5 linked regions of the Kluyveromyces lactis genome follow. The protein of the gene in region 1 purifies or fractionates together with the protein of each later gene. This does not show direct contact. Links are inferred from orthologs where the notes say so. Each region holds a gene or a part of one and is shown in the gene's direction. Other genes may lie near its edges.

The links.
Region 2: the proteins of SNT1 (region 1) and CPR1 purify together in Saccharomyces cerevisiae (affinity purification with mass spectrometry; 5 studies listed by BioGRID, with this or other methods). This does not show direct contact. The link is inferred for Kluyveromyces lactis from reciprocal best matches to the Saccharomyces cerevisiae genes SNT1 and CPR1.
Region 3: the proteins of SNT1 (region 1) and KLLA0_F02882g purify together in Saccharomyces cerevisiae (affinity purification with mass spectrometry; 6 studies listed by BioGRID, with this or other methods). This does not show direct contact. The link is inferred for Kluyveromyces lactis from reciprocal best matches to the Saccharomyces cerevisiae genes SNT1 and SET3.
Region 4: the proteins of SNT1 (region 1) and HOS2 purify together in Saccharomyces cerevisiae (affinity purification with mass spectrometry; 3 studies listed by BioGRID). This does not show direct contact. The link is inferred for Kluyveromyces lactis from reciprocal best matches to the Saccharomyces cerevisiae genes SNT1 and HOS2.
Region 5: the proteins of SNT1 (region 1) and HOS4 purify together in Saccharomyces cerevisiae (affinity purification with mass spectrometry; 5 studies listed by BioGRID, with this or other methods). This does not show direct contact. The link is inferred for Kluyveromyces lactis from reciprocal best matches to the Saccharomyces cerevisiae genes SNT1 and HOS4.

What each region holds. Positions count from the first base shown.
Region 1 is NC_006039.1:323,409-330,240, reverse strand, and holds the start of SNT1 (Snt1p), read left to right. Parts: upstream 1-2,687; coding exon 2,688-6,832. Other genes in the region: AAA family ATPase CDC6, read right to left, coding at 1-1,331. UniProt on the Saccharomyces cerevisiae protein: Part of the Set3C complex, which is required to repress early/middle sporulation genes during meiosis.
Region 2 is NC_006040.1:1,412,858-1,417,907, reverse strand, and holds CPR1 (peptidylprolyl isomerase CPR1), read left to right. Parts: upstream 1-2,234; coding exon 2,235-2,723; downstream 2,724-5,050. Other genes in the region: HOM2 (aspartate-semialdehyde dehydrogenase), read right to left, coding at 1-813; DNA-directed RNA polymerase I subunit RPA14, read right to left, coding at 1,282-1,761; ENT5 (Ent5p), read left to right, coding at 3,202-4,401; GIR2 (Gir2p), read right to left, coding at 4,715-5,050. UniProt on the Saccharomyces cerevisiae protein: PPIases accelerate the folding of proteins. It catalyzes the cis-trans isomerization of proline imidic peptide bonds in oligopeptides. Involved in histone deacetylase complexes, suggesting a function in chromatin.
Region 3 is NC_006042.1:266,433-273,079, forward strand, and holds KLLA0_F02882g (uncharacterized protein), read left to right. Parts: upstream 1-2,729; coding exon 2,730-5,120; downstream 5,121-6,647. Other genes in the region: protein kinase IME2, read left to right, coding at 1-164; KLLA0_F02860g (NAD(P)/FAD-dependent oxidoreductase), read left to right, coding at 668-1,969; putative GTPase MTG1, read right to left, coding at 5,405-6,562.
Region 4 is NC_006042.1:846,166-851,970, forward strand, and holds HOS2 (histone deacetylase HOS2), read left to right. Parts: upstream 1-2,301; coding exon 2,302-3,660; downstream 3,661-5,805. Other genes in the region: IME4 (mRNA (N6-adenosine)-methyltransferase), read right to left, coding at 6-1,580; KLLA0_F09141g (type I glyceraldehyde-3-phosphate dehydrogenase), read right to left, coding at 4,123-5,193.
Region 5 is NC_006042.1:339,852-346,613, forward strand, and holds HOS4 (Hos4p), read left to right. Parts: upstream 1-2,918; coding exon 2,919-5,801; downstream 5,802-6,762. Other genes in the region: VAC7 (Vac7p), read left to right, coding at 1-654; KLLA0_F03597g (dual specificity protein phosphatase family protein), read left to right, coding at 1,475-2,557; KLLA0_F03641g (cytochrome c oxidase subunit IV family protein), read left to right, coding at 6,404-6,404. UniProt on the Saccharomyces cerevisiae protein: Unknown. Component of the Set3C complex, which is required to repress early/middle sporulation genes during meiosis.

The sequences.
Region 1 (6,832 bases):
ACTGTACAAAGACATTTGTTAAGATCAAACCGTTCTCTGTGTACAAGCGAGCACAGTATGATCTTTTGTTGTATGTTCAAAGGAGCGATCCGTGTCTTTGTTGTGGCAGAATTCATATATTTTGAAACAGCTTTTGCTACATGCGTGATGGTTACTTTACGGCCTCGAGTTTTATCTGAGTTACCCTTCAAAGATTCCAATTCTAATAATTGAACGCTGCTACGGAGTAGATCAAATAATCTTCTTAGATCTCCGGTTGATCCAGAACATTTGGTCGTTGCAAATTTGATAGCCATGGGTTGAAATATTTCAAAACAAGCTGGAAATATGGAAAGTTTGCTTCTCACAATTTCAAACATTTGTTCAGAGTTATATGGATGGAAATGGATAACTTTAGGAAGCAATTCTTTCTGTAAATTAAGTCTGTTTAGAACACGATCTTTTAAATCAATGCTATTTGCTATTCCGATGATTGTGACGTTGATACCGGGCTCCTTAGCCAATAAAAACAGATCCAGTATAATTTTTGTTGCAGATGATAGCACTGTGGTTTGCTTGATTAACTTATCCATTTCGTCCAGGATAAAGATAAAATGAGTATTTGGTTTCGATCTACAAAACGACTTTAAATTCTTCACACTGTCGCAGGCTTTATGATGTTGTTGCTTATACTTCCCATTGACGATTTCTAAAAGTAATTTCTGGAATATACATTCCGGTTTCGAAAGGGCAATACAGTTGACCTTGGCTACCGCGATAGACTGGAATATGTCTGACTGTGTTTCAAAATAAGATGTATTCAACAGTTCTGGGTCATGTTTTGTGACTTTTTTATTTTTTGGATCCAAAATGATCTCATGAAACTTATCTCTCAGTATGAGGTCTAGCTGTGCCGTTTTCCCTGTTCCTGGTGGACCTGTGATGTACAGCGAATTATCGGCAGATTCCCTGTCCGATATTGAATTGTGAAAAAAATGCATGATCTCGTCGTATTCTGACTTTCTCGTAGCAAGCCAAGTCTGTTCCAAGTTGGAAACTGAAGACTGTTGCAACAGCGATTTTGTCTTCGAAAATATTGGATCGGATCCAAACATCAACCGTTTCGGTTTCAAATCTGATTCAATTGTGTATGGTTCATCGTTGATGTTTGTCAAATTTGAGCTGACTATTCCTAATGGTTTTTTTATTTGCTTTTTCTCAGGAGATGCTGGAGGTGTTGTTAAACCTGAAAAGCGCTTCGCATCAGGCGTCATGTTTTCTGAGTTTCCACAACCTAGTTCACCATCACTTTCAAACGCTAAGAATGGACGTTTCCTTCCATTAAGCATCATTATGGTTTGACTGGTTCCCTAAACTGTTTCAGCCTAGTTCCGTGTTGTCAATTTATGATCGTGTGACTAAATATCGGTGATTGTGAATTCGAACCAGGTATCATAATCAAGTAGCTGAACTTACCGTACATATATATAATGCCTGATCTCACATACTTTTTTTTTTTTCGCATAATTTACTTAATGCGGTTTTCGATCTGTCGCAGATAATTACACTTCCTAAAAGGGTAATTACACGTTAAGACATCAAGTGTTTCGAGTCTTGCTATGAATAGGGCAAGAGTCAAGAAAAAGCGATATTTGGTGGCCGAATACAAGGGAAAGAAGGACCACCTTTCTGGGAGAAACAGCGTAAGGGTAACTCATAGGACCAGCTTTTGTTTCTTGGTATTGTTTGCAAAATACAAAGGAGAGTAAGGAAAAGATACCTATATTTCGCAATGTCACCTGCTACTGGATGAAGAGAGAGGACAGTGGCGCGGTATGCGCATTTTTACCGGATACAACAAGACAAAATACATATCCTCAGCTAACCTTGACTATGAAGTTCCTAACGGTCTGTCCCGACCTTCTGTATCCTTTTCCTCGCACCCCATTGACCTGGGAGGCCACACAGAGAAATTGGTAAAAAAAAAAATCTATCCACGTGATCTAAACACTACGTCACGTTATACGAAGCATCCACTATTTTTATTCTTTCCTCACAACCCGAAATTCGCTTCGAACCCCAACGGCGACTCATTCCCCTCCCTCATAAAAACAAAGAATCCCAGATAGTAAATGTCAAATGCTCAGTTTTCGATTTTTCAAGTATTTCAACTTTTTTGGTATCATCAAGGAAAAAAAAAACAAAAGCATCAAAAATCAAAAAGTCACTTTATTTAATAAAGGAATGAAAAAGAGCTCAAAACAAATCAAGCTACATACTTTAAGCTATCCTTTTTAAAGAAGAAGGAAAAAAAAGCAGACACAGAAAGACGGTAAGAGCTGCTTCTTTTGGATGTTTTGGAGGGCAGCACACAAGGCAAGGTTTTAGGAGACTACAGAATCCAGATCGAGTAGCCGGCACAGCTAGCGTTTATTGTACACACTGTGATATATGAGTGTTCACATTAAGTAGAAGTAAAGCCGAAACCAAAGAGAAAAGCAGTGTAATAGGTGCAAACAAAAGAGTTTGGATCAGAAATAGTGAAGTACTTGGCACGCTATTTGAGAATTTTAAAAGTGAAGAAGGCAAATAGCGTTGAAAACAGTTGCTTCTTTCCTTTCAGTTTTCAGTTCTGGCCCTTTTGAATTTGTTTTGTTAAGTTCGTTTTTATCCCTCCTCCTTTCATATTCTTCCATTTTGATTATCCCATGCCTATTCAGCACCGTATAGGTGAAAAGAAGCGTTACCACTACGGTGGTGGCGCTTCAGGACGATATAGTTCTTCGTCTTCGATAGGTCGAAATCCTGGACAAACAGCACTTTCTGGAGAAAGGGATCGTGGCCACTCTCAGGAATCTGGTAATGGTACACCCAACTCGAGTAGTGGAGACGGTTCTCCAGCTCATATTACGGGGAGTAGACATTCTAGGTATGATCCAAATGCTAATGTTAGTGGTCGTAGCTCGATGAGCTCACGGCCTGGATCAAGATTTAATCCTAATGTAACGATTTCAGATACTGTACCAACTTTAGTTAAAAGAGCTGGCTTGAACGATAATGCGAGTAATAACAACGGATCATCCGGTTCGAGATGGGCTGGGTCACATAGTCGTTACAATCCTCAAATATCGAATAATATGCAACTCTCATCTGGTGCAAATGTACCGTTACTGGGGAACGGACAACTGATTCCAGCTACCGCTCCTGTTAGTGGCGTTAATAGCACACACTTTTATCCTTCGGGCAGCGGGGCAGGCTCCAATCCATATTCTTCGTACGTAACGGGAAAATCACAAAGGCCAAGGAGTTCATTTGATACTTTCCCATCAAATGATAACATTCACGGGATGAACGTCAATGGCAGTGCGAACAATACGAATAATAACTTATCAAATATCACATACAAGAACTCAAAACCTTCATCCGCAAAATCATCAAAGAACATTACTTCGTCAGTAAGCGGCTCAAGAGGATCTTATTGGGGGAGCCGTAACGTAAGGACTGGTAAATATCATTCAAATTCAAGATATAACGGGTTCAAAAAATATTCTTCAGACTATGGCCCTCACGATATGACTGACATACCTAAATCGAAGAAATCTTTCGAAACGTCCCATTCGCTAGGTTCTAGTTTAATCAATTCAGTTCCCCAGACTACAAAGAAAGTGGAAGAACAGTTACATTATGACCATAAAAGAATAGATATTAGTGCAGATGAATACACTGGCGATAGTGACGCAAAGTCCTATACCAGCGTACAGGACAAACATGACAGACACGATTATGGCTCTGAATTAGAAGATGACTCTGAAATTGCAAGCAATAACAACCTAAAGGAGCTGGCAGAAAATCATGATAAAAGTTTTACTCTCCTAACCAAAAAAAATTATGATCAACAAGTATCGGAAGGCCAGCCCGTTGTGGCTATATCAACTGTAGATAAGGAACTCCCAGAGAGTGATCACAAAAAACCTCAAGTGAAAGAGGAAGAAGAAGCTATCGAAAAAGTAACCCTGACGGAGCAACCGACTGTGGAAGAAAAAGAAGATATAGATGAAGACTTAGATGAAGATATGGCTGAAGAAATGAGTACAATTCAAGAGTCTACTGGACCTCTCGCCGAAAAGAATCACATTCCTAACAGGGATATTCTTCCACACCCAGAACCTTATCCAGAACCTTTAGTTCCAATTGAAAAATGTATATTTCCAATGTTGGAACCGGAGATGAAGTTATGGCTTCTCAAAAATAAGCCGAGAGAAGAACGCGTTAAGAATCAGAAGTATCTTTTAACAAAACCTATTGAATATTTATTTGATTATCCATTCTTTGCACAGGCCTGGATTATTCATGATCAAGCTGTTAAACCAATTATAACGAAGAATTTGACAAAGATTAAGCGTTACGAATACTTAAGAAATCTACAGTTGAAAGATCAATTCTTCAAACTTCAGGATATATGGGAAAAGAAATGTGACCAGATGACGGAGCTCAGTGAGAGTTTCCATAGATCTGAACCAAGCGGAGAGCAGAATAAATATGAGAATCTCCAAGCAAATGTTGAAAATGCAAATGAGGCTTTTGAACAACGCCCCACAAGCTCACGAAGGAGGAATAGGGCTGATTTTGTTGATGATAATGATATTGAAAACGTATTACTACAAATTGATCCAGATTACAAACATCATCAATTAGCAGCGAACATTCCTGCTATGACATTGAATCCTGTTGATAAATTTGCCTGCAAATTCAAAGATGTGAACAACTTGGTAACAGATAAAGATGCGTGGGCAAGTAGGCTCTTGACTGATCGTATTGATTCATTCACTCCTTATGAGCATGAACTTTTCGTTGAGGGTTATCTAACATATCCAAAGAAATTCGGCAAGGTTTCACATTATATGGGTGGATTAAGAACTCCTGAAGAGTGCGTCTTACACTATTATAGGACAAAGAAGAAGAGCAAGTACAAGAAACTATTGCTTGAAAAACACAAGAAAAGGAAGGCCAGCATTGGACGTCGTAAAAAAGACAAGTTCGATATTAAGAAAAAAGATAGCGAGGATAAGGTAGAGACTGAAGTACCATTACCTTCCACATCAAACGTTGAAACTCCTGTTTCTCAAACATCTGTTTCTGAAACTCCTGTTGAACAATCTGTTCGTACTGTTGAGCAAGTTGTCCCTGAAGTAGACCATCCTCCTCCTGCTGAAGTTCATCCTGTATCCACTTTAGAACAACCACCTACTTTGGAACAAGAACCTAAATCCACAGAAGAACCGCCAACTTTGGCCAAAAAGGTTGAACCATCTTTGGCAACTTTTCAAGAACAACCTGTGATCAATATAGAAGCAAAGAAGGAATCCGATACTGAGACAGAAAATGAAGCAACGACGGACGGCGATTATAATATTAAACAACAGGTAATGGATTCAAGTGTAAATGTTTCTGAACCAGTTTACATGGTACAAGAACAGGTGTTACTTTCCAATAAACCATATGAAGATATTGTGCCAATGTTAGCTGATATGACATCAAAATCTGTAATCAATGAATCTGTAAAGAATGCTGATCATGCGGATATTGGATTTGATAATACTGAATCCCATCTTAAACCAGAGGATGAGGTTTCTTCAAAGCATTCACTTTATGATCAATCAAACGTCAATTCTGCAGACCAACCTATGAAGAAGAAATTGAAACAAACAGAAGCTGTGCATAAATCGAGCTATTGGAGTGTACAGGAAGCAAAAAAGTTCCCAGAATTGCTCAGAGAGTTTGGTTCAAATTGGACATCGATATCTCAGAAACTTGGAACAAAATCAACAACTATGGTTAAAAACTATTTCCAGAGGAAAGCGGAACAAAATGGATGGTATGCTCTTGTTGAAATGGGCAACAACCAACTTGCATCCTCATCAGTTCTATCATCAGGAGACCAGTCTACCAAACCCGTTGCTATTGCTCCGGCTCCCAATGTGAGTTCAGCTATTATCGTGAACTCATTGCCTTCGCCTGCAACGGTTAATAAGCCTGCGGAAAAACCATCCATTGAGCCACTTCCGCTACAAACGATACCGCAGCAACAAAAACCTGCTGTTGGATTTTTCAATGATTCTAAATTGTCATCCATTCACAAACCATCCTTTTCTCTAACCGGAAATGAAGATAGTTTTTCGAGATTACCAACTCCAACCCAAGGTTTGCCTCCCCAGCATTCACCTGTTATCACATCATTCAGTGTTCCACATACTCTTCCAAGACTGAATACTAATAAACTTCCTGAAATTCAACCCTCAATCTCCAATGCTTATTCGAACCTTGGCAAACCACAAACTCCCTCTGTTCATTTTTCTGCGAATGCTTCTGAAACTCATCATGCTCCAGTACAATCACATACAATTACTTCCAGTAGGAGGTCTTCAATCAGAAGCCTATTGAACGATGGCGAAGATTCGGAAACTAAAACTAATACGATCTTAAACACATCACCAACTGTTGTGGCATCACCGATTGGGCCATCAAATTTACCAATTTTAAGACCAATGCGCAATGCTTCTGTTTCTCCTCCATCAATTCCTCCCTCTAAGGGAAGTGATTCGGTTGTCTCCAAAGTAATTGTTCAGGAGTTATCTCATAATGTACCAACGAAACAATCAAATGATTTATCGAAGCCAATGGCTCTGGCACCTACGTTGCCTCCTGCTCCGTCGAATCCACCTCCAACCGTGCAGGCAGTTCCACAATCGATTAACTTTGCTAACGATCCTTTAGCCGCACTTGCAGCGGTTGCTTCATCCTCTGAAGCGTTCGGCCTGATGCCTACAACAAACACGAGTAATCTTAATCAACA
Region 2 (5,050 bases), on another chromosome or scaffold:
GACAGATGGAGCTGGCTGGTTCTTGAACTTCAAAGAGATACATTCAGTGTGACCGTCAGAGACAGCAACACGGTTACATTGAGCAGAAACCTTGATTTCGTCATCGCTCAATAGGTTAATTTGAGATTTATCTTGACTCAAAGCACCCAAGATCTTCTTGGTCTCCCATTCGATCTTGTCTTCTTCGCCGCCAATGTAAGGGATGATGTTATCTAAGATATCGATACTTGGGACACCTGGAGAGAAACCAGCCCCGGAAATGGCTTGTAAAGTGGTAGTGGTCAATAGAGAAATAGGACCGAATTTTTCAACTAATGGTTTCAATGGGGCCACTAAACCAGCAGTAGAACAGTTTGAGATACAAATAATAAAACCAGGTCTTGGCTTACCTTCTTGCTTGGCCTTTACCAAGTTCGCGTTAACCAAATCCAAATGTTCTGGGTTGGTGATTGGAACGATTAATGGCACATCTTCTTCTCTTCTGTAGTTCTTAGCATTAGAAATAACAGCTAACCCATGTTCCTTGAATTCCTTCTCAATTGGACCAGCATAGTCAGCATCCAAACCAGAGAACACAACATCACAGTCCTTGAAGGCATCAGCGGTACATTCAGAAACAATGATGGACTTAGCAAATTCTGGTAACAAATCGGTTTGTTTCCAGTTCACAGCATCGACATACTTCTTACCTGCAGATCTGGAAGAAGCACCCAAAACCTTCAATTCAAAATCTGGATGGTCAGCTAACAACAAGATAAATCTTTGCCCAACGGAACCAGTAGCTCCTAAGACACCAGCGACTTTCTTACCCATAGTTATAGTATATTATAAGTAGTGATTCTTTCTTAATCTTCCTAAGCAAGATTCAGATCCTCTTTATCGCTTTAGAATAAATACGATCAAGAAAATGAGATAAGTATATTAGAAGCAAAGTAGAGCAACGATGAATGCTACAAGTGTGTACAAATATATACCTGGTAGTAAGGAATCGGATGTTAATGTTGATATTCTTTTCAACTGATGTCATATCACTTTGACGAAAAATTCCAACTGACTCACACTCTCTCTGTGTGAAAGAAACCGCAGGTGAGCCCATTGGAAAAGAAAAAGTTGTGTATTTGAAGTCACGTGGTATGTTGCAATTAGGGTGAGCTCCAAGCTTATGCATTGATTATAACGGTCACTGTATGTAACTTAGCGTATGTATGTATATATATATATATATATATATATATAATGAATGAATACCCTCCCGATTCGTGGGTAGTGCAAATCAGCCGTCTATTCAGAGTCTGATGACGATTCCGAGGATGAGGATGTTTGTTTGCTGTCACTGGAGGTTTGTGAAGATTCCGGCACATCAGCAAACTTGATCTTTTTCCCTCCAGTAGCAGATTTAGCCACCGTATCTTCTTCTGTATTACCAGTAGAACTTGTGCTGGAGGGTTCCATCTCCATTACTTGAGGTGGTAGACCTTTGAAATCTCTTTCGACTCTTTTCAGCTGCGCAAGAGCACTGGAAAGCTGTGTATCTAGAGCCATTTCATCGGCACTAATGCCACCAGAAGTTACTGCTCCCTGGGTTGTAGAAGCTCCGCTTGACGCTAGTGTCACGCCTGGTACTGATTCCTTTTCGGCAATGAAACTTGCTAGGAATTGTAGTACTTCGTCTTTAGATAGGTATGTTGGCGTGCCCACCGTATGTACCACAACGGGCGTGTTCAAAGTGGAGTTTGCTGGTCTTCTAGTTCCCCTTAGCATGGTATACGTGGTTGTTCGTTGGAGTGCGATGAATCAAATCAGCATCTATATATTTACCCAACCTTTGGCTATCTCATCTCATCTCATCTCATCTCATCGCATTATTTCGATTCAGGTTTTGTCTCTCGAAGAATTTTTCAGCTGAGGCACGGGTAACTCAGGCATGTTTCTCCGTGCCTTGCGATGTTAACAAAATATGCAAGTCACGTGTGTCACGTGACTTGCGGCGACAATGCGGTTGATGTGTAAGATAATGGGGTTTCCGTTTTCGTTACCCGGCCGCATGTCATCACCTAATACCATTTTGCGAAGCCAACGCCACCCTTTGTTAGCAACTACCAACCACTTTCTCAATTGAACTCTGATTCAACTTCAATCCAATTCCAATTCAAGTCCAGTTCTTGCTCTTCTGTTCTGGTTTGCAAAATCTTGGTTACAACACACCAAGTATCAACTACTAAACTAAACTAAGAATGTCTAAGGTATTTTTCGACGTGGAAGCTGACGGTCAACCATTGGGTAGAATTGTTTTCCAATTGTACAACGATGTTGTTCCAAAGACTACTGAAAACTTCAGAGCTCTAGCTACTGGTGAAAAGGGTTTCGGTTACGCCGGCTCTGTTTTCCACCGTGTTATCCCAGACTTCATGTTGCAAGGTGGTGACTTCACTCACGGTACTGGTGTCGGTGGTAAGTCTATCTACGGTGCTAAGTTCCCAGACGAAAACTTCGTCAAGAAGCACGAAAAGCCAGGTTTGTTGTCCATGGCCAATGCTGGTCCAAACACCAACGGCTCTCAATTCTTCATCACCACTGTTCCATGCCCATGGTTGGATGGTAAGCACGTCGTGTTCGGTGAAGTCGCTGATGGTTTCGATGTCGTCAAGAAGGTCGAATCCCTGGGTTCCGGTTCCGGTGCTACCAAGGCCAGAATTGTTATCGCTAAGTCTGGTGAATTGTAAGGAAATAAGCTAGGGAATTGACTCTTTTTTTCATTTTAATCCTTTTTTCTTCCCTTTATCACACTTCAATCGCTCGGGATATCTATATATATACTTATGTCTATAACAACCCATTGACTAATTGAGTGTATTTGATCTCACTCAATTGGTAATGGAAGACACTCAAATACATATATACAACACCCTTTTATATCAATGGAAGTTTATGACTAGATCATCATCTCTCCTCTTTGGCCATTAACAAATGTAGCTACCCAATGAAAATGGTTACCCGGGCCTGTTCCCTTTTCTCACCTGAAATTTCCCAATTTAGCTGCCCTCTGCAATCAGCGCAACCTTTACAAGACTTTTCAACATAAAATAATGATCATGATTAATGATCAGTGAGGATACGTTCGTCATTTCAGTGCGGTAACCCGTTGTATCTGCAGTGGTACGCTATTGATCACGCTGGACAGGCTATATCTTATCAGTAAGGATGGATTCTATTTCTAAAAAGTTGGGTAATTTGGGTCTGCATGATTTCAGAAATGCTGCAAGATTTGCACAGAACGTTATAGTTCAGTATGAACCATACCAGATCGATATTAGACGTGCTACGAATACCGATTCCTGGGGTCCAACTCCAAAACATTTGGCTAAAGTGATGAGACATCGTTATGAGGTTTCAATGTTTTTGATGACTGAATATACTTTGAAAAGATTAGTCGATCATATGGCTAAAAGACCTAAGAACATGTACGAAAAGGCCAGAAAGCAGTACGTGAATTACGGTAACGAATGGAGAGTTGTGTTGAAATGTTTGGTCTTGTTAGAGTATTTATTGATGAGGTCAGATAGGGGCAAAGAGACTGATCAAGTGCTATCCTGTTTACAAGCACATAAACATATCTTAACCAAGGAAACGATGCAGTATCGTGTTGATTTCAGTAGTGATGGGAAGATGGAATTACATGAGCGTGGTATCAAGAAGAAATGTGAACATATCATCCAGTTGATAGAGGATACTTCTTACTTGAAACGCGAGCGTTCCAAGACCGCGGAAAATACACAAAAAATCGTTGCCGGATCTGCCGGATCTCGCTCAGAATCTCTGTATAACGATATTTCCATCAATGCAGACTCTTTCGCCGGATCGTCTTCTACCATTGATGACTCGGACGACTTCGAATATGAACCTACTCCAACGGCTCACAGAGATCGTAGATCGTCTGCTGTGGACGAACAGAGAAGACAGAGAAGAGAGCTATTACGAGAAAGAATCCGTAACAGTGAACATCAAAGAAAAGTCTCCGCGCAGGAACCAGAAATCGATCTATTGGACTTCGATGATGCACCAGCTCCTGCTTCTCCTTCAATCAACAATAGCAATAATGCTAACGTATTCGAGAGCTTCGGTGTTGATGGTGAAGATGATGACGATGATGAATTTGGTGATTTTCAAAGTGAGAAAAGTCCAGTTCCACCTGCATCTGGTAACTTTAACAGTTTTGGTAACGATAATAATAATAATAATAATAATAATAAAACCTCTAATAATAATGCTACATTGAATGATCTTCTAGATTTCGGTGGATCTAGCAGCACCACGACGCCAGCCGCGACCAACAATAACAACGCCAGCACGAAATCCGATGCTTTTGCTGATCTATTCTCTATGTCCAAAAACCAAATATGAAACTCCCAAGTATATCAACATAACAATTCGAATCAAGAGGCTCCCTCGATTGAATAGCATTAACTATCACATGGCTAGTGGGACTTGTCATATTTTATATTCTTACAACTAGAACTCACAACCCCTACTATTATTATTATCATAATTTTCTTATCTATATACTGTAAATATATGAAAAAAATTACCTGACCTTGCACCGTGAGACTTTTACCTTCATTAATGAGAAGGTGTATTAACTATGCTTAGTCTAAGGTTTAAAGTGATGCCATATTATGAAATCAATCATTAGAAGTGTTATAAAAATATGGAGAATTTAAACTGCTATGGCTTTTACACCTTCTGAGATCAAAGATTCATTCTCCTCATCCAAATCCTCATCGCCAGCAAGTCCTTGTTCGAAGATCTGTCTACCAGAAAGTCTCCCCTGGTGGGCAGCAAGACGTCTCTGGGCGTCTCTTTCGTCCAACCCCAGTTCTTTCCTAAACTTGGCTCTCCATTCGATGTATGATTCTCTTGTCACTTTAGTACCTCTGAACTTTTTCTGTTCCTCCTTTTCACGTTCCAGCAGCAACCTATCATGTTCTTTCTCCAGTTCACTTAGCTTTTCTTGGAACCACTGTTCGGCGTAGTCTTTGATGTTGGAAATCAA
Region 3 (6,647 bases), on another chromosome or scaffold:
ATTCACTTGATCTACAAGAACAGATCCCAAGAAATCTGCTGGAGAGGGCAGTACAGCAAAGAGTTTTAGATTGTCTTTTAGATCCATCGGAACATGCATCTCAAAACCTGATTCAAACCTCTAACTCCCACAATCATACATTCCAAGATGGATTAAGTTTCTGATCGTAGAACAAAGAACAGCAGGCTGTTCCTCTCTTTCAGTTCTACTCGTTGAAATTTCTTTCAACAACGCTTTACCTGGTCCTCTTCCCATTCATTTATACCGTTTATAATATCCACACACACACACACACATATTCACCTTTTGTACCTGCTAGCTCATAAGTTTTAACATAACTTGCTTCTATTATTTCCTTTATAACTTGTTGGATACAGGACAGAAATGCCGACAACTCTTTCACTCTATAACATGGTACTTCTACTTGATTTACCTCTTATGTACACTATTATCCTTACTGTCTTTGTTTACTATCTCAAGTTTTTTTTTTTTTTCTTGGTAAACTGTTCCTATCAGCTCCGAGGTCCGATGATTCAAAATCTTTCGAGCCATCAACTTTACATTGTACTTCAAAGTCTTTATAAAGAAGAACTTCGGTTAAGAAAGAACATAGATAATATATTCAACTATACAGCTTTCCTCACATTAGACAGGCAGCGAACCGGAAATGTCCAATTATGATGTTGTCATTGTTGGCGCGGGTATATTTGGATTAAGTACTGCTGTGCAATTGGCTCGTTCCAAATATAAAGTTGTGGTGGTTGATAAGTTTCAAATTCCATCGCAGTTAAGTGCGTCCTGTGATTATAATAAAATTGTTAGACTAGAGTACAACGATGAAGTCTACGCTGCACTAGCAGTGGAAGCAATGGGATACTGGCACGGTGAAAGTGACAAATTTTTGCCTCGAGGAATGCTGCATGATTGTTACTCTCATTGTGGTAGATTGAGTGCAATTCAAGATAAGAATACAAGCAGATATGCTTTCGATAATGACAGTTTACAACTTCTACAAACAAAGTTTAATAAGTGTAAAACTGTGGAACTACATAAAGAGTTAACTTGTGGTGGTAAGTTCCCTCAGTTTTCTCATAGTCAACGCTACGATGAGATTCGTTACAATCCAGACTGTGGTATTGGTTTGGCTAGGGATTCACTAGTGACCATGAAAAATTATGCTGAATCATTAGGCGTCGTATTTCATGAAAATGATGGAGCCGTGAGTGTGTCAGCGGGCACTGTTCAATGTGAATCTGGCAGAAAATTCCTTGGACACAAAATTATTGTTGCATGTGGTGCTAATACTGTATCACTTCTGCCTATGTATGGTCAGATCAGGGCTACTGGGTTATATGTAGGCCATATTCAACTGACGGACAAAGAATATCAAAAGTTAAAGGATATTCCAGTGGTCTTCAACAGTAGCTTAGGATATCTGTTCCCTCCAGATAAGCACACCAGGATATTGAAGATTTGCACTAGTGCGATGTCTGCATATGATGATATGAGCAACAAATCAAGAGCGGTCTATCGGGCCCTACAGCCCGATGCGGCACCCAGTGTACCAATAGAGGCAGTCGTGCGTATAAGAACAGTACTAGGTAAATATCTACCGGATCTAGTCTTCGATACCAAAAGAAAGTCAAAGTTAAGGGATATCATTGATTGTAAGATATGCTGGATCAGTGACACATCAAATTCTGACTTCATTATAGACATGATCCCCGACCTGAAAAACGTGTATGTATGTTGTGGAGACTCGGGACATGCTTACAAGTTTCTTCCTAACATCGGAAGCTACGTACAGCAGAAAATAGAAGGAAGATTAGCACCAATACTGGCACACAAGTGGAGGTACAGGGAAAGTGATTGGAACGGTACGGAAATCGAATGGAGAGTAGAACCCGAAAAGAAAGCATTACAAGAAATAGAATGGTACCAAGAAAGTTACGGCACCCCAAGACTGTAACCTTTCCGGCAATTGATATTATGCAGCAACAGAGTAATATATTGCATGGCAATTGTGGATCTGTTGGCAGTAAACCGGTATTTAAATATAAGTAATAAAGAAAAAGAAAAAGTATCTACAGCTTGGTACATGTAGTAGTAACACAATCTTGCGTTCAGCGATATGTTCACCCACAGCTTTGCGTTAAACGAAAACGGTACTGCTACTAACCGTGCTTTTGCACCTTGTTTATTGTTTACAACTCATCGGCTCTTCATTATTCAAGGTACGACATTTTTCACCGTTTAACGACAAAATTTTGAAAATCAACAACATTAACTATCTTTCTAAAAATTGACAAACGAAGGATGAATAAACATGTTAATAAGGAACGAAACGAAACGACCAGCCCAGACATATTGAGTGTCTAATTAGCTCTCGTCAATAAGGTACTCGCACATATCTCTTTCACGAAGTAACCGTTGGCAAACTTGATAGAACAGCTGTACGAGGATCAGAAAGGGCCGTTTAATTTTTCCTGTTGGGTTTGATTCAGAACGTATAGACTGTTTTAGCTGTGCTTTCTATACTTCGATAGCTCGGACAACAAGCATACTAGGCCCTGAAAACAGGGATCCCTTTTAAGATAAAGAAGGGTATATAAGTATATCAAGCTGGGCAAGTTAGGACATCTTTATTAATATTAAGGTACCGACTTTTCATTCAATTTCAAATATTCAAATCAAATACCGCAATACAAGAAGGAAATATACAGTAAACGATGACGGATGGTACTATAGAACATGCTCAGGACCAGTCGTTAATAGACGATGCCTCCACTTTGTTGATGTTCTCTAAAACATCGAATTCAAACGTCAACTCGAGCGATGAGGGTAAAGACGAGTTAAAAGCCGATATACATACACACAAAATGACACCAACTCCTTCCGCTGGAACTGCAAGTCAGGTCGGAAGTCAAGCTGGTAGTCACAGTGGGAGCGCTGGTGATATAAGTATGCATATGAATCCCATGACATCACCGGGCCCTGCATCTGTGGCACTTATCAAAGATGATGATGACGATGATCATCTAAAAGGCAGTCCCGTTGACAATGGTATTCATCGCAGCAACTCAAATAGCGAAAAGACAAAGAAAAGCGGGAATAAGAAGGGTATGGTTGCGGCTGCTGCGTTAGCACAAGCAGCTACGATGCCACTACCTCTTAAACGAAAAGCAGAAAACGATAGAAAACCTGCTGCGAACAACAGCGTGCCAATGCCTAGATCAGGTGCCGAGGAAAAATCTCCTTCAAAGCAAGCAAAGAGCGAAGATAAAGTGGTGGAACAAGAAGATAGTTTCAAAGAAGCTGTAGAGGAACAAAAACTTGAAAAATCTGAAACGGATAGGTTTTCTTCGGTTCCCGAATCTTATGTTGTTGATCCAGATGCTGGTATAATAACGTGCATCTGTGGCTATGAAGATGATGATGGATTTACTATACAATGCGACCATTGTTTCCGTTGGCAACATGCTATATGCTATGGAATTGAACATGAAAAAGATGCCCCAGATGACTTTCTGTGCAACATCTGCAATTCTAGGTTTGTAGATGTAAAGCTAGCAAAGAAGAAACAACAAGAAAGGATCAGAAATGCTCAGAATAAGAAGCGTAGACGCACGGCAAATGGCAACATAAAAGAGGTGAAGACAAAAGAGGCCACGTCTGGTACGAAAGACTCACGGAATCCAGGTACTTCTGAAGCGACGGACCATCGTATAGAACCAGAGGCCATTCCATCCGCAGATCCTCTTACGAACATTGTTTTAATAAATGCTAAAGAAGCTTATCCTACAGTGTATCTCCCTTTGACTTCAAATGATTACAAAGATAAATACGTTGAACTTTTCGTAAAAGACCACGCTGATGACGACTGGGTTATACCTTATCATAAATTAACGTTCAAACCTATTCCGATTGAAATTAAACCATATTCTGACAGTAATCACTCAAGATTGTTCCCTGGATACCCCAAGTTAGCTGTATACTTGAAGCAAGGATGTGATGAAGGAGACTACATCGATGAATTCTTAGGAGAGATTGATTTCCAAAGGAAATACTTAGAAGATCCAAGAAATAACTATAGAGTCTGGGGAACTGCAAAACCTAAAGTCATTATTCATCCCCACTGGCCGATTTATATTGATGCCAGGTTAAGTGGAAATTTAACGAGATACTTGAGACGATCATGCAATCCCAATGTTGAACTAGTCACAATCAAATTGACTAATTCCAATAACCAGGATGAGATAAAGTTCGTTCTTAGAGCTCTAAGATTCATTGATAAAGGTGAAGAACTTCACATCAAATGGGACTGGGACCTGAGACATCCAATATGGAAGTTAATAAATCATAATGAGAGCATAGATTCCATTGAAGAGCCACAAAGGTATCTTTTCATACATTCCATAGACACCATTCTAGGAAGTTGTGATTGTGCCTGTGGAAGTAATAGTAAAGATTGTTACTTGCTGAAAATCAAACGCCATTCTCAATCACTCTATAGATCAGTCAAATCAAAAATGAATAATCGATACAAGCTTAACGAAATATTACACGGAAACAAATTGCAAACCAAAAAACAGTCATCTATTCTCAGTAAATTAGCGCATGCCACAATCTCAGACGCAGCAAGGGCCAATGAATTTCTACTTAAATTCAATGCCGTTAAGCTAAAGATGTTAGAACCGGTCTCTGACACTGTACAGAAGAAGTCTTTCCATACGAACGCTGGGAGTATCAGAGGGAACAAATACAGGGTTTCAGTGACGGAGTCCAAAAACAGGGTTGACCCCCTTAAAGAAAGTCTTTCATTCATTTCAGATCCTTCTAAGTTCGATGAATCACAGATTAAACACCCAGCCGATCTTCCTATTCCCATACAGACAATAAGTACTGAAGATAACCCTCCAACTGACACCACCATAACAAATATAACCGAAACTATATCAAACCAAGGACAAACTAGTGTCACTTCCGATTCTAATAGCATTAAAAATTCGTTGAAGCGTGGAATAGACAGCGTTCCCGGCCCTTCGTCTACTATCCACCAAGCTCAGATGAAAAAGAAATTATCGTTTGCTGATTATAAGAAAAAAATCAAACCTGCTTAACGGATGACTTCCTTGGTATCGAAACCTTCATTAGCACGCAAACTTTTTTTTCAGTTCGGGATGTACCTATAGGTAGTCAGCGGTGGTAATAAACGGGGAGAGTGTACTTAACAATTTAGCCTCCTTCTCATAAAATGAACTTTTTTTTGCGAGTTATTTAGGAATTTGGACGGTGGGTTCGATTTGCTTTATCGATATATGTTGGAAAACTAGTCTATACTTTTCTATTATTTATTTACATTGTTTATAATTAACCAAGAACTGACTACTTCTTAGGTATTCTCTCAGAAAAGCGTATTTGCCTTAGATAAATGCTTTTCTCTTTTGTTGAGTAAGGGTTGGGATAAAACATCCCAACCTTTGAGAATTTCAAGTTCTTCTTGCATAGTTTTCTTGTATTGAAAGTTTTCCAAAATGGGTTCCAACTCGAATAGAGCTGGAGTAGCTTTAGAGGACTTCTTAGAACCAGATCTTAACCCAGATTTTAAAACTCTACCTTGTCTCCAAGAATCTGTCCAATAGATGGCTGCAGCATTCTCGTTTGTCATTCCTACTTGCTTTTTGAGGCCACTCAACAAAATGTCAATGTTGTTAGTAGGGGTTGTAGTGTAGTGTGTGTAGAATTGATATTTTCCCTGTAGGTTCAAAAGATACAACAGAAAATCTGCTTGAATCACAGGGTCCACTAGATTGTTTTTAACGCACCCACATAAACTGAGTGATAGCATTCTTTGCTTGCTCATTGCTTTGGCAGGTAAAGATATTCCAGGCGTATCATATAGAAACAACCCTCCTTTATAATCACTGATTCTGATACATTCACTAGTGTTCCTGGTGACACCTGCCTGATCACCTGTCTTCGCAACCTTCTTGGGTTTGCTTCCATCCGAATGATCCAAGCCTGCATATCCAGTAAATCTTAAACTATTAACGAGTGTTGATTTCCCAACATTAGGCATGCCGCCAATTAGCATTCTATAACCCAGTGGTAGTCCCACAGTCTTCTTCCCCGGATCATTTTTCTGGAGAAACTTATCATACTTCCATTTTAATATATGTAAGAGATCTTTAGCGCCCTTTTTGCTTCTTCCATCTATCATGATATATTGTTCGTCCATTTCCTTATGCCATTTATTTAATGATGCAATAATAGCAGGATCGCATTGATCAGTTTTGGTGTAAACTACTAGTCTGTCAACTTTCTTTTCTAAGGACAAGTAATCGAATATGAGGTTCCTAGTGGCTATTGGAGCCCGGCTGTCTCGAAGTTCAACTAGAAGATTAAGCTGAGGAAGGAGATTTTGAGCTCTTTGTATAGCTTTCTTTTGATGTCCTTTGAAGTCACTTGTTGGTATATTGAAATCTGGGAATACCATTCTTGGTACAAATGTAGACTGCAGCCGTCTACCTGAGTATTTGACACATTTTACCGAAACGTTCATATCTTCCAATACAGTAAGTTTGTGAACAACTATTACAGTTAATGGAGTTGTCGTTAATGTTTATGACAAAGAAGTAATCAGTAGT
Region 4 (5,805 bases), on another chromosome or scaffold:
CATCTTTAGTTTGTCTTTGAATTCTTTGATTTTTCCATGAATCTTTCGTATTTCCTTTTCACATCCACTTCATGGATAGATGAGCCTGTCACTTGATTTCCTATCGTGAACCATCCAGGACGGATGTTATGGTCCCTACCGAAAATTTCAAGTTTACGGGCATGTGTACCGACAAGTCTTTCAATGATTCCATACAATTCGTCCGGCTTTCTACTGGTTTCTCTAGTTGCGCTAATGATCAAGTCAATGTCTATTTTTCTGTTTAGCCATTCCGGATTGCCTTTGACCCCGACGAGTAAATGCTCTTTACTGTGGTTCAACCAATGGCCAGTTCTACCTGTCACAATTGTTCTTCCTAATTGGTTTGTCTTGATCCAAGATATTTCATTTATTACTTCGTAACCCCAATTCTGCAATGATTCTTTCCCTACTTCGATAGCACGGCCGGTTACCCACAAGAACAATAAACCTTCTTCCTGCAAGAGATCAAATGGTAGTTGCAGTAACTCATTATCATTGCAAGTACCGTAGGGCAAATTCATATGAATGTTCCATGCGGGATCTGCAATAACGGCTGAAAATTTACCAAGAATATCGAAGTCAAACTTTCTGACGTCACATTTGATCCATTGTGGAGGAAGAAGCTTCTTAAACGATGAAGAACAGCACTCTCCATGCGTATAGAACGAATACTGCTTGCGTTGCTCTTTTTGTTCTTCAATTTTCTGTTTTTGGAGAGATTCAGGATAATATTGCAGATAGTGGACGTATCTGCAGGTACTTAACTTGTGACAAGTATCCAAATACGAACAATCTCCCAACGAAAGATCCGTCTGTGGCTTTAAATTTGGTATGAAATGAATGTGCGTGTTCGAACATTCGATAATATCCGGACAATCAGCTTCAATCTTCTTTAATTTTTCACCTTGCAAAGACATGATTTTGTTGTTAACAGTATTGATGACGGTGGATAGTAGTGACACATGTTTCGGATCTGAGCATATTGGTATGAAAGGTGATCGCTTAGTGTTTAATTTTGCCTGTTCTTTAGATAACTTAGTGGATCCGAGTTCTAACGAGAGGATTTGATTTAAGTGTCTTAGACACTTAGCATTAGGGGTTACAATTTCACTCTGGTCCAAAATGCCCATCAACTTATTTAATAATATGGGTTCGCTTTCAATTTTTCTTTCTTTAACCTGAACAGAATCTTTATCGATCGCAATCTGCTTGGCTTTATTGCCAGTATGTGATAATGACAATTTAATAGCTTGGTCATAATGAACTTTTTGCAATATTTTCAAGGAGTCCCCATCAACAAATGAAATCTTTTGGCCAAAAATATTCCCGCCACTATCATCTTCAAAATTCATGCAACCACCACATACTTCTGAAATTTTATTCAAATCTTCACAAAACTGGTAATACGTCTCACCACATTCGTTATTCTTCCATAGGAAATTTTGCATGAACATGGAATAAATGACATAAATGTCGTGTAAGCTACCATTGATCGGGGATGCAGTGATGGACGCATAGTTGTCCAACATAAAATCAACTAACCCCCAATTCAAAGACATAATACCAGTTTCACTCCTTTCACTGCTCGGACAATTTCTTTCGAGACGCAGCTATATTCAGTTTCGTTTCACCTTGTTACTCCACTCAATAAAAAAACAACCGCCGACGTCAATATCTCTGGCTCCAGACAAGATATAACAAATCCGTATATTTTTTTCGATCACCACAACTTTCACAAACTTTCTGTGCCTACAATGTCATGAAACTATATATAAATTGCCGGCTTTTCCTCTCAGTTCCATCCACGTTTAACAATGGTTCTGTCTTAAAAAGATGGTGTATTTCGTGATGAAGCTGGGATTTTTTATTTTCAAATCCGAGTTTGATCTAGGTAGGAATTCGTTGTGAACAGGGGAATACACAGGCTCCAAACTGGCAGGAAAGTGAAGGGCTTTACCAGTGTATTATACGTGAATCTGCAACGATGCTGATCTCTCTTTAGAATTGTGGGGTACATCCTTCATCTTGATACGTTGTTATCACGTGATTGGTTCATGTGATGTACGGAGTTTATGGTTCTGATCCACTTGGAATAAAAAAACATGGAATTTGAAAATACAGTAATAACAGAACAACACATAAATAAAGTACGGAAAGGTCGAATAGACAATCGACCGAGCCAATACCCAACTCTTTGCAGATTGTAGCTACCAAGTATCAATTCTGGCTGAGTGGCAGTTATTCATTACGGGTAAGTGGTAGCGGAATCCTTTTCATAAGATGTCATCGGATACACTTAAATTTGATGAGAAAACGGAAGCTGAGAAGCCATTGTTTGATTGTGATTTTGGGACTTCCTATAGTCCCAGAGTCTCGTACCACTTCAATTCGAAGGTATCACAATATCATTACGGTGTCAAGCATCCAATGAAACCTTTTAGGCTTATGCTTACCGACCATTTGGTTTCGGCATACGGGTTACACAAAGTGATGGACTTATATGAGACGAGGTCAGCAACAAAGGATGAGTTAACAAAATTTCATTCTGAGGACTATGTCAATTTCTTAGCGAAGGTAACACCAGATACATTGAATAAACTTCCTCGAGGGTCACTCGAGAAATTCAACATTGGTGACGATTGTCCTATCTTCCAAGGAATGTTTGATTATGCTGCCTTATATGCTGGGGCATCGTTAGATGCTTCTAGAAAGCTACTTAATGGTCAGAGTGAAATAGCTATCAATTGGTCTGGTGGTCTACATCATGCGAAAAAGAACAATCCATCTGGTTTCTGTTACGTTAACGATATCGTGTTAGCCATAGTAAATCTACTGCGGTATCACCCGAGAGTGTTATACATCGATATAGATTTGCACCATGGTGACGGTGTACAGGAAGCGTTTTACACTACTGACCGTGTGTTCACTGTTTCATTCCATAAGTATAACGGCGAATTCTTTCCAGGTACAGGTGATTTGGATGAGATAGGTTGCTCCAGAGGTAAGCATTTTGCATTGAACGTTCCGTTACAAGATGGGATCGAAGACGACTCATACATTAATTTATTCAAAAGCATTATTGATCCCGTAATAACATCTTTTCGGCCCAGTGTAATTATTCAGCAATGTGGTGCCGACTCCCTTGGCCACGATAGACTTGGCTGTTTTAACTTAAATATCAAGGCTCATGGTGAATGTGTACGGTTTGTCAAGTCGTTTGGAGTACCAATGCTTGTGGTTGGAGGTGGTGGTTATACACCAAGAAATGTTTCAAGATTGTGGACGTATGAAACAGGATTATTAAATGGGGTATTGCTACAACCTAAACTTCCAGAAGGTATTCCATTTAGAGATTGGTTTGGCCCAGATTATTCATTACATCCAACACTAGATGACTTGTATGAAAACAAAAATTCCAAGAAATTTCTTGAAAATATACGGATTAGATGTTTGGAGAACATCAAATACTTACAGGGTGCCCCAAGTGTTCGTATGGATGCAGAACTCATCCCAACACAGGACATCACTGGCCTAACTGAAGAAGAAGAGGAACTGATAAAAGAGTTAAATGTCGAAGAGGACAAGGCTAGGTTGGCACAAATGGAGAAGGATGACTTTAAAGTGGGCGAACTATACTAAAATATCACGTGCGGAAATCTGATATATTTGTTTTTTTTTCTTTCTTTTGGTTACGCTTTGTAAATAGATATCCTATATGGAGTTGTTAGAATACTACTAAATTAACACTATTAAGGTAAAATTATGAGCACGAAGAAAGTGCCTTCGAGGTTAAATAAATACATTATTACCAATTAATATTAAGATCGTATACTTCATTATGCTTACATGGTATGGGTTTTTATTTAACTTGTCTATATGTGTTAAGAAATTTTCTGAAGATATCCTTTAGTAAATAGAATATCTTTAAATTGCTGTGAATATTAAATAATAATGGCGGATGGAGGTACAAAAGGTATTGTTTTGAAGTACCATCATAATTTTGTAAATTGTCGAAAACTTTTGAGAATAGTCTTCATCAAACGAAGAGTACTTTTTTGTCAGTCTACTGGGATTTTGAAATCAAACAAAAAAAGCGTCTCCTTAAACACCAGCTTCGAAGTCCTTTTGAGCCATGAAAATGGATAAATCAACCACTCTTGAAGAGTAACCATATTCATTATCATACCAAGAAAGGACCTTGAAAAAATGGTCGTTCAATTCAATACCGGCCTTGGCATCAACAATAGATGAACGTGAATCGGATGTGAAGTCAGAGGACACAACGGCGTCTTTGGTAACACCCAAAACACCCTTCATATCGCTGCGAGATCTTTGTTCTAGGGCCTTCATAATGTCATCGTAAGAAGTTTTCTTTGCTGTACGGAATGTCAAGTCAACCAGGGAAATATTAATTGTTGGGACTCTTATAGACATACCGGTGATCTTACCATTAAGTTCAGGCAAGATTTTCCCTACAGCCTTAGCTGCACCAGTAGATGAAGGAATGATATTTCCCTGGCAAGATCTACCGCCTCTCCAGTCCTTACCACCAGAACTGGTACCATCGACAGTCTTTTGAGAAGCAGTAGTTGCATGAATAGTTGTCATCAAGGCTTCTTCGATACCGAACTCATCGTCCAAAGCCTTAACCAACGGAGCCAAACAGTTGGTAGTACAGGAGGCATTAGAGACCACGTGATCCGTCAATGGGTTGTATTTAACGTGGTTAACACCATAGACGTACATTGGCGCGGTCTTTGATGGAGCAGTAATGATAACTTTTTTGACACCTTTATGTCTAGAGGCTGTATCGACTTCCTTGAAGACACCGGTTGAGTCAATTACATAATCGACGTTGTAGGAAGCCCATGGGATACGCTCTGGTTCCCTAAAATGAGATAGAGGGATATGAGCCGAAACATGGTCATTTTGAATGATGATACGTTCATCGTCGAATTCAACTTCACCACGATACTTGCCGTGAGTAGAATCGTATTTGAACAAATAAGCAGCGTATTCTGGTGTTGTGGATGGATTATTGATTAATCTGACCTTAACTTCTGGGTGCGTCAAAGCAGCACGTAGAACCAATCTACCGATTCTACCAAAACCATTGATACCAATGTTAATTTGAGCTGGCTTAGAAGAAGATTCGTTTGTCATATCGGGCATCTAAAAAAGTGACAGTATCAATTCTGTGAGATTTTAAAAGGTCCGGTTTAAAGAAAAAAAGTAACTTTTCTCTCAAATAATAATAATAGCGGTAATATGTGCCAGTAAATATTAGAAAATAAAGAAGTTTTCTAATGTCAATGTTATTAAATCACAAGTGGATGACCTAGCGTAGCAGTACCAGTAAGATCTTTATTTCTTAAAAAAGGTAAAAAGAAGAAAACGGTGATGCGAAAGCAGTGAAAGCAGAGCAGACAGCGGTTAATTAGATATGATTATCTCTGGATTTGTATAATTTAAGGAAACCATCAACCAAAAAAAAAAACACCAGTCGTTTACCGGTTAGATGATTTCGTCTTAAATTGCCCATGGCATGTACATCCCATATTTATATATACTTGAGGATAACAGATAAATGAATGAAATAGAAGCCATAGAGAAACCCCGGAAGAATGTTTCAAACTGGTCTAAATATTTGAAAGGTTGAAATTCCAACCTGCTTCTCTGTGGCAGAGGAACGTTGAGAAAAAAACACAAGACAAGTAAATAAAAAGGTCAAATTCACAACAAAAAAACGCCAGAAAAACTACGTAAAATGAAAGGCTTTTTTTC
Region 5 (6,762 bases), on another chromosome or scaffold:
GGATTCATTTCTGGATTCCTACTGGCAACCAACAAAGAATTACACGATTTCCAATTGTTGGCCATGGATAACGTTCTAGTTTCGTTGGATGAATTAGTATTCGATATCACAGCGACTGCGTTTAATCCAAGTCTCTTCACTATTGGTATAAAAGACGTGGAACTAGATATATTTGCTAAGACTAAGCACGTTGACGTTAGTTCAAATGAAGACAAGTTATATTCAACTCCATACCAAACCATACTACTCGGGACAGTATACAATCTCGAAAGTGAACTACAATTTAGAGGAAGATTGATCAACAGAAATTATGATGTTTCTGTTGCCAGTGTTAAATTGCTCAATCCTGGTGCACCTAAAAATAATGGTGATGATGAAGACGGGGATAATGACGATGACGACGATGATAATGGTAACAAAAAGAAAATGGGCCACGATAACCAAGATGAAAAGGGCAATCACAAACTAGAGAATGATATTGACCGTTGGAAAGAATTGATCAAATATGAATTCGAATTGATCGTCAGAGGAAACATGTATTACAGTATCCCATTCTTTAACAACCAGAAAGTACTCCCAGTACAACAGCAAATTTCTGTAGATCCAGACAACTCACCTTTCAGAAAAAAGCATGGAAATAACCATGCGCAATAGAATATAAAGGCCATTTTTTAGTCTGCCAGAAGCTTGTTTAAGTCAGACACCAAGATAACTCATCGGAAAACTTCAACCTTGGCCTTACTTAGTTTTTACAATGTCTTGTAGTATGCCACAGCAACTAATTTGCTTGTAATTATATATAATGATAACAATAAGATATACTTAAAGTACCACAAACTGTATTTTTCATGGCCGAGTTATAAGCCTTAAGTGACCCCAGCAACATCTGCATCAAGAATGTTATTTATTTACTTCTTTTTTTAGGACCTACCTGTGTCCCCAAGAAAAAGTAAAAAAAGCAGAAATGTTGAAATACTAAGCACAAGAAGTAAACTTGAAACAAGGTACCGAAACAGAGCTAAAAGTTCATTTGTCTGTTTTTATCGTCAAATAAATCAACTGCTGTAGGTCCACAAGTTATCATTGTTATTGGCATAGATTTAAACCTTCGAATTGCACGCCGGTGGGTTTTCCTCGACTTACCACACACACATTCAAGGCGGCAGAGGGGATATTTTGAACATATTAACGGGGAACGATTGTGAGATCTTAGCTACTACATTAGAGGATATTTGAGAAAAGCTTGTACAGCAATTTATTGAAATTATTGAATATTGTGTTACTTCAAAGATATAGGAAAACTAAAGCTGGTACTTGATTATTTCCCTAGACGCTGGTAACCCATAAGAAAACCGTTCTTATCTCATCTTGAATTCCTGGCCAAAGAAATTCGGTAAGAAACTTATTTGGTTATAATTATATTAAACATTTGATCATACTTGCAAGTCCTTTTCAATACCCAACACCGAGCGATATGGAGGCACCGCAGAGAATAAGTACAAGGTCACATCATTCGATGCAAAATAAAAATTCAAAGAACCTTTGTCTTCGAATAGGTGATTCCCCAACGAAAAACAAACTAATAATGGTGGATTCAAAACCAAATGAAAGCAATGATACTTTCGCAGTGCCATTGCGCCACCAGCTTACTAAACGTGTAAGTGAAGCACAGATATACACTTTACCGCCACAGCTTAAATCTGCCAGATCCACACCCTCTACACCACAATTACCGTCTGGCAGTTCGGGCTTTGATTCAGCCGCTTCACCCTCATCGTCTACGTCTTCCTCGCCTTTCAATAAACCAACACTTCCAACAATCAACACCAAATTTCACAATAGGCCGAGGGCCACGACAATTGCGACAAGTGTACCTCAGATACAGACGCCCAGTAATGATTCAATGGAAAGCACGACACGGTATTGGGTTCTTCAAGAAAATACGCCCATGTCCTCTACAAATTATGATAATGATATGAAGAGCATCCCATACAATACCCATTCTGATGAAGACTCACCGAGCTATTCAGAATCATACAGAGAGAAATATTATCCCAGTGGACCGTTACTTGTCGTCCCTCCTTTCATATATTTGTATTCTGAACCATCATTAAAAGAAGTAATGGATTACGACGTAATAATAAACGTTGCAAAGGAGATTACCAACTACAAGGAACAACTGCCTCTATCCAAGCAAGGTTGCTATTATCATTTTACTTGGTCTCATACCTCACAAATTACTAAAAACCTACCACAACTAACAGAACTAATACAGAATGCCTATGCCAGCAAAAAAAAGGTGCTAATCCACTGTCAATGTGGAGTATCAAGATCAGCTTCCTTGATAGTAGCTTACATGATGAGATACGACAAATTAAGCTTGAATGAAGCATATAATAAATTGAAGTCTGTCGCCAGAGAAATAAGTCCAAATATGAGTTTGTTATTCCAACTAATGGAATGGGAAGATTGGCTTAACAATTGTGACTCAATCAATGATAACTGTCGGAAACAGTCATTCGAGTCCATCTCGGAATTCGGTGAACTCTCTCTGTGAGATTGTATGATATAAAACGCAATTTTAGGGATACCCATACAAAGTATATAGTAGCCTAAACACTACTCTGTAATAATACGCCGCGGATCTTCTGTTTGGGCAAACTATCAAAACGTACCAAGTGATAATTCTGTTCTTAAAAACATTAAACTTTTGAAGGTTTCTAAGTTATGATATAAGGTAAATAAAGCTGGTGACAAGGGAGAATAATGCAAAGAAACCATTAGATAATACTGTCCTCCCACTTATTATACTTCGGACTTTACGTTACTCGAAGGATTCATTCAGAAGAGTGCGAATTATGGAAAATCAGAGGCCATTCATAACTTTCAAACCTTTCTGAAAAAACCGAGTAATAACCATGAGCGAACCTGTCAAAAAAAGAAGCTTGGGCAGTTATCTATCTCGTCTCGAAGAGAGAAGAGAAGAACGAGAAAGATCAGAGCAACAGCAGCGAGAAAGTCCTAAGCCAGTGGGTGAAAATGGGAATTATTCTGTTACCAATGTTCCAGTAAAGGAGGAAGAGGTATCTCAAAAGGTAACTTCAACTGATCAGAACAGTACAAAACAACCATCAGACGAACCCTATGTCGTTAGCCAAGCAAACAGCTCTGACCAGAAAGTTGGATCTCCTTTGAATAATCAAGAGTCAATACCGGTGAGACAAGCGGAAACGAAAGGACCTATTAATGAAATAAAACAGGAAACGGATGTAGAAGAAAAGAAAAATCTACCGAAAGTAGGGAGAAATAAGCATTCTGACGAAGAATATAGTAGTGCACTCAGTGAAGTTGAAAGTGACGCACCGACAGAGCCTGCATCGCCACCAAGACCAAAAATGGGGAGACTAATACGAGGTGATCAACTTGAAAGCGGAAACAACAGTCGACAATCAAGTGCTCCAGTATTGACAAATGATGGGGAATCCGATTCTGATCTTTCCGATTTAGATGAGGCTCGTACAGCTAAAATATCAAGCAGTGCGATTCACGAAGATTCCTCTCCGGTGAAACATTATAATGAACACAAGCGCAAATCCTCTAGTATAGAAAACTCCTCCAATCACAAGAAGCAAAAACATTCTGCCGGGAAAAAGATACCGAAGACTAAGCGTGGAGTACATAGGGATGCCGGAGGCAGGACAAAACTACAAATTGCTTGTGATAAAGGCAAATATGATTTGGCAAAAAAACTTATTGAAGAAGACGGCTATGACGTTAACGACCAAGACAACGCTGGAAATACGCCACTACACGAAGCAGCTCTAAATGGTCATTCAGCAATTGTCGAGTTGCTCGTAAGAAATGGAGCTAATGTTAATATTCAATCATATGATATGTTTCTAGATACGCCTCTTATTGATGCTTCCGCGAATGGCCACATAAATGTTGTAAAATATCTTCTAGATCACGGAGCAGATCCAACAATGGTAAATGCCAAAGGTCTAAGTGCAATTGAATCTATTGAGGAGGAATCAGACATGGATAATGATGATAGAAGAATAGTGCACGATATGAAAGATATGTTAAAGAGAGCAACGAGGAAATATATAAAACATTCCCATCGCACCTTACAGTCTAGTTCCATGTCAAGACATTCAGATGATATAGACAAACAACTCAACCATGATGACGACTTTTATTGGACTGATATCAGTTCAAAATTGGGTAAAAACAAGCTTTTGAAAGCTTCCAAAGAGGGGAAATTAGCATACGTCGGTTCGTACCTTGAAAACGGTGGTAGACCTGATTTCAGATGTTTCCTTGAGAGTTGCATATATGGTCATGATGACGTAGTAAGTTTATTTTTAGCCTTTGGCGCACAAGTTAATATGAGTAACAAAGAAGGTCAAACTCCGTTGATGCTATCTGTCGGGCGTGGACATGTCAACGTCGTGAAACTTTTACTCGAAGCCGGGGCGGATCCACAGAAAACTGACAAACGAAAGAAAACTGCCTTGCATTATGCTAACCACAGCTCTCTTGGTCTAACGGATCCTGATGAAGTGAATTTACTCAAAGCAGCGGTGAGGGCAAAATATGGATACGAAGTTTCAAACAACAGCGATGAAGAGGGGGAGGAAGATTCTGAAGGGAAATCTCCTTCACCTAGAGAAATATCGTCAATTCCATCCACCAAAGGAGAAGAGCAAGATCGTTCTTTGGAAATTCGTAAAGATGATAGTCCTTATCATTCAGAACCACAATCTAAAATCGGAAATATCAATGAGGAAAAGCCAAAATTATTACCTGATTCTCAAACGACAGCAGAAACTGCTTCCCTAGTCAGGCCAAGTCTAGAGAGACTAGACTCAACAAAATCAACATCTTCAACATCATTAACTCATCGTTATAAAAGTGCATCTCCTACACATCAACTATCCACTCCGCCTATTCTTCCGAAAGAAAGCGAAGAAGAGAGAGCCGCAAGGTTGAAGAGCGAAGAAGAGTACAGGCAAAAGAGACTGCAACAGAAGAAAAGGAAAGAACAGGAATTCTTAAACAGATTAGCTGAAGATGAACGGAAGAGAGTAGAAGAGAAGGAGAAATTGAAGCAACAGGAGGAACAGAGGCTAGAACAGGCCAAGAAAGAGGAACTATTAAAAGAAGAAGAACTTCGAAACAGAAACGAAGTAGAAAAAAGATTAAAGATCAGAGAGCGTTATCCAATTGGATTGAGAGTCATTGATTTCAAAGATCTTGAGAATTACGATAAATTTGGGCCTGTGTACTACTTCACTGAAGATGGATCAAAATGGGTGCTAGATCTTCAAATAAGTGTCATTATCAAATCCAGCACCGAAGAGTTAAAGAAACAATCATCAGAATTTAAAGAAGTGGAAAAGGGTCAGTACCCACAACTATGGAATCTTTTCAAATTCATCTTCTTATATGGCGGCAGCGATAATGCAAACAACTCGAAGTCCTTGCCCTGGAGGCAATTGTCGGAAATTGACCAAACAGAGTATGTAAAATTCTATGAACTCCCACTAACATGGATTAAACTATCGCGATTGAACCTGCAAGATTTAAACCCAAAGATGAATGACTGGATTGAAAAAAATATGATAGAATTTATCCCGGCATCTACATCTGCCTTGTACAGAACAAGAAAGGTCCTTTTACGTGATAGCAAAAGACCTGGCCAAAACGAAAATAATGCTAACACACGCTTTGTCCCTGCCAAATATCAATCACGCTCCAAAATGTTACCATGGTTGAATGCCTCCAAAGCGCTTTGGTAGGGTCATTATACATAGCATAAGAAGCTTAACACTGTAACAATACATAAGAAAAGATAGAAGAAGAACGTCTTCCTCGGAAAATAGAAGTCACGTGGATTTTATATACACGTGACTCGGACCTTTGCAGATGATTTTCCACGCCCTTCATTCATCACTTCCCCAACCCGTACTATGCGACTGTCTTTCCGGGAACATGATTGGCCAGAGTCTGATTTAGTAACGTTAAATCCGAAAAAAAGTTCCATCTCGTATGAAATGACCTAAAACACACCATCATATCATAAACCTTCGATTCTCCTTCGAGATAAACAATAGAGTAGAAAAAAAAACTGTTACCAGCCATTTTTCTTCGAAGCGTTTTCTTGTTAGCGTTTTTTTTTTCGGCCCACTTCCGTTGGTGCTATTCACCTTTTATAATGGAGAAACATGAAAAAAAAAGCTGTAAATTTTTCATATAATTTAAATAAAAGATAAAATATAAAGCTGATTTTAGCTAGTTTCACAGATTTGAACATTGTTTTGGTATAGTTTCTCTAATTTATTCCAAGGGTTTTCTTGTTTGATATTAGTATTCACAACTAGCGGCCAAAGATTTTATAAAGAGTATGTGCACCGTAAGACGTAACATAATCAGGGGATTGCGAATGGGAATTTTCAATAAGGAACAAATGCGAACTGGAGTTTCCGGAGATAATGGATAAAATCATAAGAAGAACGATTTAAGAGATGTTCTAATTATCATCCCGATGAATAAGGTGGTATAGTCATACCTGATCAGGTTTAAAGTTTTAAATGGATTGGTTGTTTTTTAGTGGATTTGGTTCCTATAAGGGTTTTTATCCATTATCTGTATTTGGTCATGGAGAAAGAAATGGCATTTTGAGAATTCAACATAATAATGATTGTAACTCAGCTGTAAAAGAAGGGATCATGTTTTTCAAGACCAGAATTGATATTTAAA